Arabidopsis thaliana: one gene and its partner. Changing the gene in region 1 together with any one later gene gives a genetic interaction. Each region holds a gene or a part of one and is shown on either strand. Other genes may lie near its edges. The genes, in order: PIR121 and STI.

Evidence for each region.
Region 2: changes in PIR121 (region 1) and STI impair growth when combined (synthetic growth defect), as found in Arabidopsis thaliana (one study listed by BioGRID).

The regions. Positions count from the first base shown.
Region 1 is NC_003076.8:6,101,947-6,107,169, reverse strand, and holds the start of PIR121 (transcription activator), read left to right. Parts: upstream 1-2,189; 5' UTR 2,190-2,304; intron 2,305-2,378; 5' UTR 2,379-2,386; coding exon 2,387-2,440; intron 2,441-2,753; coding exon 2,754-2,826; intron 2,827-2,909; coding exon 2,910-2,974; intron 2,975-3,114; coding exon 3,115-3,192; intron 3,193-3,529; coding exon 3,530-3,649; intron 3,650-3,735; coding exon 3,736-3,806; intron 3,807-3,901; coding exon 3,902-3,994; intron 3,995-4,178; coding exon 4,179-4,248; intron 4,249-4,337; coding exon 4,338-4,402; intron 4,403-4,547; coding exon 4,548-4,743; intron 4,744-4,852; coding exon 4,853-5,004; intron 5,005-5,108; coding exon 5,109-5,202; intron 5,203-5,223. Other genes in the region: AT5G18420 (CCR4-NOT transcription complex subunit), read left to right, coding at 1-111, 523-594, 670-743, 829-970, 1,181-1,265, 1,432-1,532. UniProt on the Arabidopsis thaliana protein: Involved in regulation of actin and microtubule organization. Part of a WAVE complex that activates the ARP2/3 complex. Interacts with the active form of RHO-family GTPases.
Region 2 is NC_003071.7:658,900-666,385, forward strand, and holds STI (AAA-type ATPase family protein), read left to right. Parts: upstream 1-1,755; 5' UTR 1,756-1,964; intron 1,965-2,095; exon of another isoform or gene 2,096-2,106; 5' UTR 2,107-2,193; coding exon 2,194-4,251; intron 4,252-4,340; coding exon 4,341-4,560; intron 4,561-4,774; coding exon 4,775-5,332; intron 5,333-5,422; coding exon 5,423-6,044; intron 6,045-6,157; coding exon 6,158-6,242; intron 6,243-6,324; coding exon 6,325-6,438; 3' UTR 6,439-6,736; downstream 6,737-7,486. UniProt on the Arabidopsis thaliana protein: Acts as a key regulator of trichome branching through an endoreduplication-independent pathway.

The DNA of each region.
Region 1 (5,223 bases):
CATGAGCTTGTTTGGGACGATAAAATGTGTGCTGATACTAGCAGTGGTGCAACAGTTAGAGACTTGCTTGTTAAGGGTTTAAAGGTGACACTTTCACCTACGGAGCAAGAGGTATGTTATCGCTCGTTAATTCTTGATATGCGCATAAAATCATACAAGTATTGACCATTTTATTACCTATCTTACTCTAACACTTATAAGCAAGTTAACATAGCAATGGGACAGTAACTACATATGCACAAATTTTAAAGGTTGTAAAGGCAGCCATTGTATGGCAGTAGTTTTGAGAGAGAAGTCGTGCTCGTGCTATCACTCTAGTATTTCCTTTCTCATTGGATTTAAAGATCTAGGATATTAAGAAGGAATTGACTGCAGTAAGAGTTTATGGAAAATAACCGTGCAATAGATAAATAGTGATTGTGATGTTTTATTTCATCAGCCTTGCCCGTATAGCTGATGAATTTAGAAAACCTGGATCTTTTGAGTGATTGAAATAACTTGTTTTATTTATTTACTGGCCAGGACATCATTACAGAATTGGCAAATGACCCAAAGCTTGTCTTTCACTGCGGAATAACTCCACGGAAGCTGCCGGTATGTGATTCATTTTCTGGCAGGTGGTTTTTTTCTTTTTTCTTTTTTTCATGTGATCTAGTTTCTTATTCTCAGCAATTAGTAGAGCACAATCCTCAGATAGCAGTTGAAATTCTCACCAAGTTGAATAACTCCACAGAGATTAATGAGTAAGTCATCACCTTATTGGTTCCACCATTTACTTTCGACCAAAATTATAACTTTTAAAGTGGGAATCTAAGAATGCTTCTTCAGCTATTATGAAGCTCTAGGAAATATGGACATGAGCCTGCACTCAATGGAAGTTGTGAATAGGCTCACAACTGCAGTTGAACTTCCCAAGGACTTCATACGGATGTACATCACTAATTGCATATCGTCTTGTGAGAACGCTAAGGTATTAAAACAAAGCGTCCTTTTGATTTCCCGTTAGGTACTTAAAACAAAGCTTTCTATGAGTATCCATAACGCCATCCTATAATCTTGTGTGAAAAAACTTCTGCTTGTGCTTTGCATTATGTGCTTTGTGTATATGATTCTCGGATTTGTTGATTTCAATGTAGTTGTTTTGTTAACGGTATAGTGATATATTGTTTTCGATCTGTAGCAGCAAGACAAATACATGCAGAATAGGCTTGTACGGCTTGTTTGCGTCTTCTTGCAAAGCTTAATTCGTAACAAGATCATCAACGGTATGCATTCTCTGTTTCTGACTGATTGCTATCAAATTAGGCGTTTTGCTTTGCTAATAACACAGAAAGATCACTAGATACATTCACAGAGGAAGCTTTTATAGTCTATTAGTATGATGTACAATTGTGGGTGATATATGTTTTTTTTGGGTAAAAAATGTAACAGTGAAGGATCTATTCATAGAAGTTCAAGCTTTCTGCATTGAGTTTTCTCGGGTTCGAGAAGCAGCTGGTCTCTTCAGGCTTTTGAAACAATTGGATGAATAATTTACTCTTTCTTCTTCTTCTTCTTCTTCTAATCATCTTCGTCTCCATTTTATTGTATTCCCTATTTTTGTAGCTAAAGAAAGTACTTTATTTTGAATCCAAGACAGTTTTCGCTTTTTCTAGAGTTTCATTCTCAATTCATATGTTTTTACAACAAAAATTTCTGGTTAGACTTAGACGGCATGTCCTTTCCATTAGGCTACTAACACTTAACCGTGAACGGTTTACATGCTCACACCGATAGCACCAACACCTGCTGGTTCTTATCCGGATTGGTTTAAGGCTCCGGTTAAACCTTAAAAGTTGTTACTGATTCTACAAAGTAACTTATTTTATGTTCAGTAGTTGTTCACTGTAAAATTGTATTTATATCTATTTTGTTTTGTTACTGGTATTACTCTTATGTATTTTCCCAAAATAAGAAATGGTTGAGGATAAAGGAATCAGTAAATAATGATTTAGCTGTCATCAAGTTTGCTTCATAGTAAAGACACAAATGTAATGCTTCTTCTCAAAGCTTTAATCGGATTGAACAAATATGTACTAAAGAAAAATTCTGAAAGGTGAAAATACAAACGAGGACCCAAAAAGAAACATTTTTTTTTTGTTACAGAAAAACAAATAGAAAAAGAAAGCTTCCAACTTTGCGAAATATTTGGTTCGGACAGAGTAGTAGCGAATTTATCGATCTCTGTCCGTAAAGAATCAGAAGAAAGGCGAATCAATTGACTTGAAGTAGTAGCAGCTCTCCTCTCCTCTCCATTGTTGTTGGGTAAGAGCCTTAAAGTTGAAAGCTTTATCCTTTAGTCGCCCAATGTTGCTAATTGCTTCGTCTGATCTTTCCAGGTGACTCAATGGCGGTTCCTGTAGAGGAAGCAATCGCAGCTCTTTCCACATTCTCCTTAGAGGTAACTTCGATATTCTAGATTTTGGTAAAATTTAGAAATTGTGGGTCTTTGGATCCTTTTGACTACAAATTTTCTTTCCGGAGTTCATATTTCAAAATTTTCTTCTAGAAAGGATATGAAATTATTGTTTCTATTTCTTGTTAAATCCTTTTCGTGTAAAATTATCACATATATTGTTTAATCACCTGTGGATCTTTGCCTAAGTTAGCAGTAAAATAAGTTTCAACGAAATGTTGAAGATTTAAGTAGCTTCTTGAAAAATTTGAAGTCACTCTAGTACATTTTCTTGAAGCATTTTGAATTTTGGTTATAGGATGAGCAACCAGAAGTCCAAGGACCGGCTGTGATGGTTTCAGCTGAAAGAGCAGCAACCGATAGTCCCATCGGTATGCTTCATTGTTCTCTTGTCACTCTTTTACCATAAAATCCAAATAATCAAGATGTTTTTTTTTTTATTACTATTCTGTAGAATATAGTGACGTCGCTGCATACCGGTTGTCTCTATCAGAAGACACAAAAGCTCTTAACCAGCTGGTATATGGCTATTCTTCTTCATTTGCCTCATCTTAGAAAGACTGATTAAATTACGATTTGATATTTTTACGGTTATGTTGTGTTAATCGTGTTATATTTGAATACTTCAAGTAAGTTTTCAACCAATTGTATATATGCAGAATACACTTATACAAGAAGGAAAAGAGATGGCGTCAATTCTATACACATATAGAAGTTGTGTCAAAGCACTGCCTCAGGTCCTTGTGAAATCTATCACTACACTCCTTGTCTCCATTGCATATCTACCTTTAGACATTTTATCTGATAAAATGTAGCTTTGAGAATTATGCTATGCGTTAGTTCTTCATGGTATTCGAAATCTCGTAGCAACTGTACGAGACTCTTTTTTGAACTACAAAGTATAATGCAGTTATAATGCAAAAATAAAAGCAACAACAAAGTTCTCTGTATAAATAATAGCGAATGATAGAAATTACTGAAAATAATATCAAATACAGTACTTCTTGCTGGGTGTTGTTGTGTATATTTCTTCCATAACACACATAACTTTCTTTATTAATGATATACATGCAGCTTCCCGAATCTATGAAGCATAGTCAAGCGGATTTGTATCTAGAAACATATCAAGTTTTGGACTTAGAAATGAGCCGTTTACGCGAAATTCAAAGATGGCAATCGTCGGCTTCAGCTAAAGTGCGGTGTATATCCTTCCTCGTCCAACTCGTTTTATATAAATTCCTGTATCAGAAATAATGTGCGTATATTCTCTGTCTGTGCAGTTAGCTGCTGACATGCAGCGGTTTTCCAGACCTGAACGGCGGATCAATGGTCCCACAGTCACACATCTTTGGTGGGTTATAACTCTTATTTTGTGTTTTGTATTAGATCCTTGGATGATTAACTTTCCTCGTGTATATAGTTTAACTGTGATTTTACTTAATATAGGTCAATGCTAAAGTTGCTTGACGTCTTGGTTCAGCTGGATCATCTTAAAAATGCTAAAGCTAGCATTCCTAATGATTTCTCTTGGTATAAGAGGTGAAAGATATAATACTTTTATCTTTCCTATCTATATTTTCTGCAAATAGGACACTTGAATGTAGGTAGATCGATGTTTGTTACTAATCCTTTCAGCTACTAAAGCTCTATTTAAGAGTTGAATTAGTTTCCTAGAAGCTTTTTTTTTTAGTTTATGTTCTTAAGATAGTTTCACTCTTTTCAGAACATTCACTCAAGTCAGTGCGCAGTGGCAAGATACAGATACAATGAGAGAAGAGTTAGACGACTTGCAGGTGTTTGCATGGCTTGTTTATGCAATCATTTGATAATGCCTTCCCCTGTGGTTTGTCGTAAATGAAAATGTGAGTTCTTATGTATGCAGATCTTCCTGAGCACAAGATGGGCTATTTTACTCAACCTGCACGTTGAGATGTTCCGTGTAAACAAGTATCCTTTCTTCCAGACATTTATCACCATCGTGTGGCTGTTAAAGACATTATTATGGGTTTGTCTATCTGAGATATGCATGCTGCTCAAGTCCCTTGTGCCATTTGACTATATTGCAAGCTTTTGGATTCCTTAGTAAATTCAGTGTGGAAGATATTCTCCAAGTTCTCATAGTCTTCATCGTGGAGTCTCTGGAGTTGGATTTTGCACTACTTTTTCCTGAGCGGTATATTCTTCTCCGGGTTCTACCTGTTCTTGTTGTCTTAGCAACACCATCTGAGAAAGATACCGAGGCTTTATACAAGAGGGTAAAACTCAACAGATTGATAAACATTTTCAAGGTATTGAGATTCATGTTATACCTGTTTTCGCATTCACAACCAATATACCGCAAAGCCTTGTTTCCAAGTCGCTAATTGTCATATTTGTTGTGTGTTTTTCGGCTATCAGAATGATCCTGTCATTCCTGCGTTTCCAGATCTCCATCTTTCTCCTGCTGCAATTTTGAAAGAATTGTCGGTATACTTTCAAAAGTTTTCATCACAGACTCGCCTTCTGACTCTTCCAGCACCTCATGAGCTCCCTCCACGTGAAGCGCTAGAATATCCTTTAATATTTTCACTGTTACTTGCCTATTTTAACTATTATCTGGATTATTGTTAACCGTACACATGCTTTGAAAATTGCAAGCCTTAACATATTTTACATATCAGAGGCACTATTTGATAGTCAATCACATTGGAGCTCTCCGTGCTGAGCATGACGATTTCACAATCCGATTTGCTTCATCCATGAATCAGGTGCTCAAGCTATCTCTATCC
Region 2 (7,486 bases), on another chromosome or scaffold:
TTGTATGACACTCAAAATTTTCATTTTTTGCCAATTTTCTTTTTAGGGTACATTGATAACATAAGATCAATAAAAATATATTATGGCATCAGTTAGGTAACATACAGTATATAAACAAAAGCCACATGTTGAAAATACGTAAATAAGTATGCAACAACACTATATCGTGATAAGAACTAATATTCAACAACACTACTTTATTATCGTAGCAAAGTATGATAATCATAAACATTTATTTTCACACAGTAACTATTTTTTTAAAGATAACATCATAAAAGTCAACATTATATTAAATATAGTTATAACATAATGTATATTCTTTTTTATTTATTGTACTGTAAATTTATTCAACAACCAAAAAACTTCCTTTTATGAATATGAAAAGAATTTGAGAAGCTTTGAAATGGTAATCTTTATATTCTACAATAAATCTTTATATTCTACTATAAAAAAATATTTTCACTGATGATCAGATGATGCATCAAACTTTTTTTTTTTTTTTTCCTTTTGCAGAACTCAATATACTGATATTTCAAATCTGAAAAATACGACCAATTTTTTTTTATTTTTTTTAAACGAAAAAGTGAGAATTGTAGAATTGTAGTGATATAGTGAAGATCGGATTTTAAAATAATTATATCATTATACGATATTTAGACAAATCACTTTTTTTTTTGCAAATGTTCTTTTAAGTTTACATCTAAATTTGAAGATATAAACTCGATAAAAATATATTATGGCATTAATAAAGTAACATATTTAAACATAACGCACATGTTGAAAACACGAATGTAAGTATTCACCAACACAATATAATATCCTCCAAAATGCGATTCAACATTTTTCTGCCAAATACGATTTCACATTTGTTTTAATAAAACATGATTTCATATTTTTCCACGAAAACATGATTCCGTGGTTTTTCCACTAAAAATATGATATTAATCATAACTATTTATGTCACTAAATATTATTCAATGGTAATAATTATTGATTAATTATTCTATTTAATTAATTAATTATTTTATTTTCAGGAATCAACTCATTTAACCATTAAACCATCAAATAATTGGATTAATGAATTGACTCAATCCGTTCAACAAATGAATTGAATCAACTCATAAACCATTTCAGCCTAAACTTGGATTATGGATTGGTTTGAATGAGTTTATCCATTTTGACATCTCTAACAATACATATCTACATATGAACTAATATTCAACAACACTATTTATTCTCATAGTAATGATAATCTTAAATGTTCATTTCCATACCAAACTATTAAGAAAAGAAAAACAGTATAAAATTCAACATTATTCCTATAATAAAGATAGTTATATTTTTTTTTTTGCAAAATAAGAAATATAGTTATTTTGTTTTGTGAAATTAATAAATATAGTTATCACATAATGTCTGTCCTTTTTTCTTTATTCCTGATAATGTAAAATTTGTTCAACAAAAAAAATACACTTCCTTACGAAATAGAGATGTAACGTCTATAAGTCTGCAAAGAATTACCTTAATGTATAGTTCTTTTCATTAAGGTAAGCATTCTATTCTACCATATACAAATATTCCCATTGATAATTCACTAATCTTTTCTCTATTAGTATTCATCATGATGTTTATTTTATTTTTTTGACTAAATTTGTTAGTATTTTTTTGAGAAAAAAAGAAAGAAAAAACTAAGTGTGACGAGACACGAAAACACTAGACAAGGAGGGGCTTTGACGAGACCCGAACAAACAAATGTGAATTTAAAAAAACCCATTAAAATAATTAAAAATAATGGAAATTTAAAAATAGAAAATAATAGTGTCTCTCGCTTTCCTTCATGCGTTCTCTCGCAGTCGCAGGCGACTATCAAGTTTCAGAACTCGAGATTCATCATTCTCTGTTCCACTTCCGGCGATGTATTATAATCCCTAGACCTTAGTTCCGGCGAACTCTCGAAGAACAAACAAGTATATATTATTATTTTCTTCTTAGTGTTTCGTGCTGTTTCCACGATTCCTTCGTTTTATCTTGGATCTACAGTTTTACATTCTTCTGTTTTTCTTCACTTTCATTGTTTCCACTGCGTTGTTCTGATTAGGTATTGCACAGGTTTTGAAATGTCAGTGAAAACGCGAAGCTGAGAGAGGAGAAGGAAGAAATCGAAGGAAGCTGATTCAAATTTAGGAAGAAGAAAAAATGTCAGGTTCGAGAGTTTCGGATCTGAGTAAATTGCATCTGAAGAAGGAGCTGACTCAAATCAGAAAAGCTGGCCGTGTTTTACGCGATCCAGGTACTACTTCCTCCTGGAAATCTCCTCTCGATTCGTCAAGATCCGTCGCGCTTTTGGAGACTCCGGCGAGCAGAAACGGTGGCAGTTCGAGTCAGTTTCCGATTCGAGGAGAGAGTAGTACTAATCGTCGTGGGAAAGAGAAGAAGGTGTTTTTGTATAACTGGAAGACTCAGAAATCTTCTAGTGAGAAAAGTGGATTAGCTAAGAATGGTAAGGAAGAAGAGGAAGAAGAAGAAGATGCTTCTTCGTGGACGCAAGCTAGTGTTAATGATGATGATGATGTGAGTGATGCGAGGAATGGTGGTGATTCGTATCGTAGAGAAATACAATCAGCTTCGATGGGTTTTAGGTGTAGAGATACGAATCTAGCGTCACAAGGTGTGTCAAAGATGAGGAAGAGTAATGTTGGTAGTTGTAAGAAGAAGAGTAAGAAAAAAATTAGCTCTTCTCGTTTGGATTGTTTGTCAAAGTATCAACCTAGAGATGACATTGTTGCTAGAAATTGTAATGCTGGATCAGATGACACAGAGGAGGAATTGAGTAATTCAGAGGATTTGAGGAAGGTCACTGGTGCGTCTCCTTTGCTTTTGAAGCTTAAGCAGAAGAACTGGTCACGTTCTTCGTCAAGATTGTTGAGAGCTAATAATAGAAAAGAGGATTCTTCATGTACTTATAATAGTACACCGGCTTTATCCACTAGTTCGTACAATATGTATGCTGTTCGTAATCCCAGCACTGTTGGATCTTGGGATGGTACCACGACTTCGGTGAATGATGGTGATGATGAGTTGGATGATAACTTGGATTTACCAGGGAGGCAAGGATGTGGTATTCCGTGTTATTGGACGAAGAAGGCGATGAAACATAGAGGCGGATGCAGAAGTTGTTGCTCTCCATCGTTTTCGGATACTTTGAGAAGAACCGGAAGTAGCATTTTGTGTGGGAGTCAATCTGTGTATCGTAGACATAATAGACATTCTTCTGGAGGGTATAGTAAACAAAAAATTGCTTGTAGAAGTGCACAAGGTGTTTTACCTTTACTCAGTTACGGTGGTGATGGTAGAGGAGGGTCTTCTTTAGGAACCGGGCTTAGTGATGATGAGCTTTCTACCAATTATGGAGAGCTTGATTTAGAGGCTCAGAGTAGATTAGACGGGAGGAGGTGGTCTACTAGTTATAGGAGTCAAGATGGTTTGGAGGCTGTAGCGTTAGATGGAGAAGAAGAAGAAGGAAGTACACCGGAAACAATCCGAAGCTTCAGCCAAAAGTACAGACCAATGTTTTTTGAGGAATTGATTGGACAAAGTATAGTGGTTCAATCGTTAATGAACGCTGTTAAAAGGAGTAGGATCGCTCCTGTTTATCTTTTCCAGGGTCCTAGAGGAACTGGTAAAACATCAACCGCAAGGATTTTTTCAGCCGCCCTGAATTGTGTGGCCACTGAAGAAATGAAGCCTTGTGGGTACTGTAAAGAGTGCAATGATTTCATGTCTGGGAAAAGTAAGGATTTTTGGGAACTTGATGGAGCTAATAAGAAGGGAGCTGATAAGGTTAGGTACCTTTTAAAAAACCTACCGACGATACTTCCACGAAATTCCTCAATGTACAAGGTTTTTGTGATAGACGAGTGTCATTTGCTGCCATCGAAGACGTGGCTGTCTTTTCTTAAGTTTCTTGAAAACCCTCTGCAGAAAGTTGTCTTCATATTTATAACTACTGACCTTGAAAATGTTCCCCGGACCATTCAGTCAAGGTGCCAGAAGTTTCTCTTTGACAAACTCAAAGATTCTGACATAGTAGTGAGACTAAAGAAAATTGCTTCAGACGAAAATCTTGATGTAGACTTGCATGCGTTGGACCTGATTGCTATGAACGCGGATGGCTCACTTCGAGATGCTGAAACTATGTTGGAGCAGCTGAGTTTGCTGGGAAAACGCATCACCACAGCTTTAGTAAACGAGCTAGTAAGTTTTTCTAGTTCTTTCTGTAACTGTGCACTGAAAAAAAGTAAAATTTATTAAAGTTAAAAATGTGGCATTATGTGTTTGTTCAGGTTGGTGTTGTTTCAGATGAAAAATTGTTGGAACTCTTGGAATTAGCATTGTCTTCTGACACAGCAGAGACTGTTAAGCGAGCTAGAGAGTTGTTGGACCTTGGAGCTGACCCAATAGTCTTGATGTCTCAACTCGCCAGTCTTATTATGGATATCATTGCTGGTACATACAAGGTCGTAGATGAAAAATACAGCAACGCCTTCTTTGACGGAAGAAACTGTGAGTTCCCAGCAAAGTATTTACATATTGGTCATATGTGCTAAAAAAGTAGTTTAGTGAGGCGTTATGATCTGGTAGCTTGTTGAGATCATTGCCCGTTTCATATTTTCTAACACCCTTAAGCTAATATATCCTGTAAGAGCAATTTTACTCCCTACGATGAGTCATAAACCACTTGGTTTGATTTTCGAAAATTCTTGCTTCGTTTTTGTAGTGACTGAAGCAGATATGGAGGGATTAAAGCATGCTTTGAAACTTCTTTCTGAGGCTGAGAAGCAGCTGAGAGTTTCTAATGACCGTTCAACATGGTTCACAGCGACTTTGCTTCAGCTTGGGTCAATGCCTTCTCCTGGCACCACACATACAGGCAGTAGTAGAAGGCAAAGCTCTAGAGCAACTGACGATGACCCAGCAAGCGTTTCAAGGGAAGTGATGGCTTACAAACAGAGAATAGGAGGACTTCACTTTAGTAAGTCGGCATCTCCAGCTTCGGTTATAAAAAGGAACGGGAATCATTCCCATGAAGCGAAACCATTCTCCAGGGTTATCGATAATAACTGCTATAAATCCTCCTCATCTAGCCAAATGATAGAGAGCGAAGGTTCCATTGCCTCACATGAAAATAGCATCGCAAGCACCATGATGCTTAATCAAAGAAGTTCAGAGAAACTTAACGATATATGGAGAAAATGTATTGAAAGATGTCACTCAAAGACACTGAGGCAGCTGCTCTATACTCATGGGAAACTTATATCTATCAGTGAAGTTGAGGGTAAAAAGCCTAAAAGTTTCTTCTTTTCTCACTTTTTTGGTTTTCTCCTTTCCAAAGATTCTAATAAAATGAACATGACATGATTTGCAGGTATTCTCGTTGCTTATATCGCGTTTGGAGAAAACGATATCAAACTGAGAGCTGAAAGGTTTCTAAGCAGTATCACAAACTCGATTGAAATGGTACTAAGGCGAAGCGTAGAGGTCAGGATAATTCTCTTGCCTGAAACCGAGTTACTCGTTGTCCCTCACCAAACCCGGAAACCAGAAATGACCAACAAAAGTGGGCATCTAAATAACATCGCTGGTTTAAATGCCGAAACAGATGTTGAAGTTGGTAGCAGCGTGGAAAGCAGATCAAAACTCCCGATGCAAAGGATAGAATCAATCATCAGAGAACAAAGATTAGAAACCGCTTGGTTACAAACCGCTGATAAAGACACACCTGGATCGATAATACGGGTAAAACCCGAAAGGAATCAGATTCTACCTCAAGAAGACACTTATCGCCAAACTAACGTAGCTTCTGCTATTTCTTCTTCTGGCCTAACCACTCACCAATGGGTAGATGAGCTAAACAATGAAGTTAAGCTTTTGAAAATCGGCGACAATGGTGAGCTTCAGGAGAATCTAACCGGTACAAGAGGACAGCATTGTCCTCTTTCCCCAAGCTTACTTCATGATACTAACTTCGGAAACAACAAAGACAATCTGTAAGTTCCTCACTCTGATCCTTTTCGATACAAAACCGAAAAGAAAAAACAAATAAGATCTTTATAATCAACGTATTGTCGTAATGATGTCATGTTTGGCTTTGGTTGTGTAGAGGAGGATACGAATCAGGATCAGGAAGAGTTGGTTGTAATATATTATTTTGTTGGAACACAAAAAAGACTCAGAGACGAAGCAAGGTTTGTGCTAATAACTCGAATCTGTTCCTCCTTTTCGATGTTTTCTTTGTCTCATTTGTTTTTCATTTGCGGATTTGATTAGTCGAAACAGGTCAAGGGAACTCCTGTTCGTTCGCGGAGAAATCGGAAGAGTCGGTTCTCTCTGTTTAATGGATGTGCTAAGCCAAGGAAAGCAGAAGGTAACATTAGAAGATGAAACTAAGTTCTTTAGTCATGAAAAACAAAATTGTTCCCTCAAGCTCTAATTTATCATCTGTTCTTCCACTTCCACATAGTTTTCCCTTAATTATGTTTGATAATGATATGTCAAAGGACAGTTTTAATATATTCACTGTAAAGTTCCTATCCATTTTTGTTATCTATCTTATAAAAACTTCAAAAATGTTACTGTGAAATAATCGACGAATTGGTTAACCTTGCACATTAGTTTATATTTTTCAATTTTTTTGTGTTGCATTTGTTGGAAAAATAAATAATATTTATTATTTGTGATTTACCTTTTTCAGTTATTGTAATTTTTAGTTTCATATTTACTTGGTTTATGACACATATTGAAACTATTGAAACAAATCAAAATTTCTATTGTTAAACTCTTTTCAAGTCTTAAAAAATATTAAAATTTTAAAATGAACAAAAAGGTTATGTAAGTTTTGTTTCACCTAACTTAAGCGGGGAGATGAAAAGTTGAAAAGTTAGTAAATGTAATAGACCAAAGGGTTTGTCGCGGAGAATAAATTATAAAAGAAAACAAACTATAATTTTGATATTTATAAATATATTTTTTGGAACAAATATTTATATTTATAATATTTTATGTAATTTATTTTCTATATATATCATCCAAAAATTTAGTGGAGTATATTTTAAAAAAAAAAAAATCAAAACTATTTAATACTTGGAATTTCAACAAATATTATATTACTCTATGTTATATAACCTTAAATCGGTTTGGACCTTCCAGTTTTACGTAAATCAAGTTAATAATGTAAACTAGGAAAATTAAAATTTAGATAAAGAATAGCTGAGATCAAACTGTCTCAGATTTTGTTTTTGTTTTTGATTTATTTTAGTAATTAACGAATCATCACGATATAGTAGTGATAAAATTATAAATTTATAATATTAAGCTGTTGAAAATAGAATATTATTATATATAATATTCAACATAAGCAACCTATTCAACACTTCGGTATTTTAGTTGATGAACAAGATAAATGGATCATGAAATTCCCTTCCACACCCTT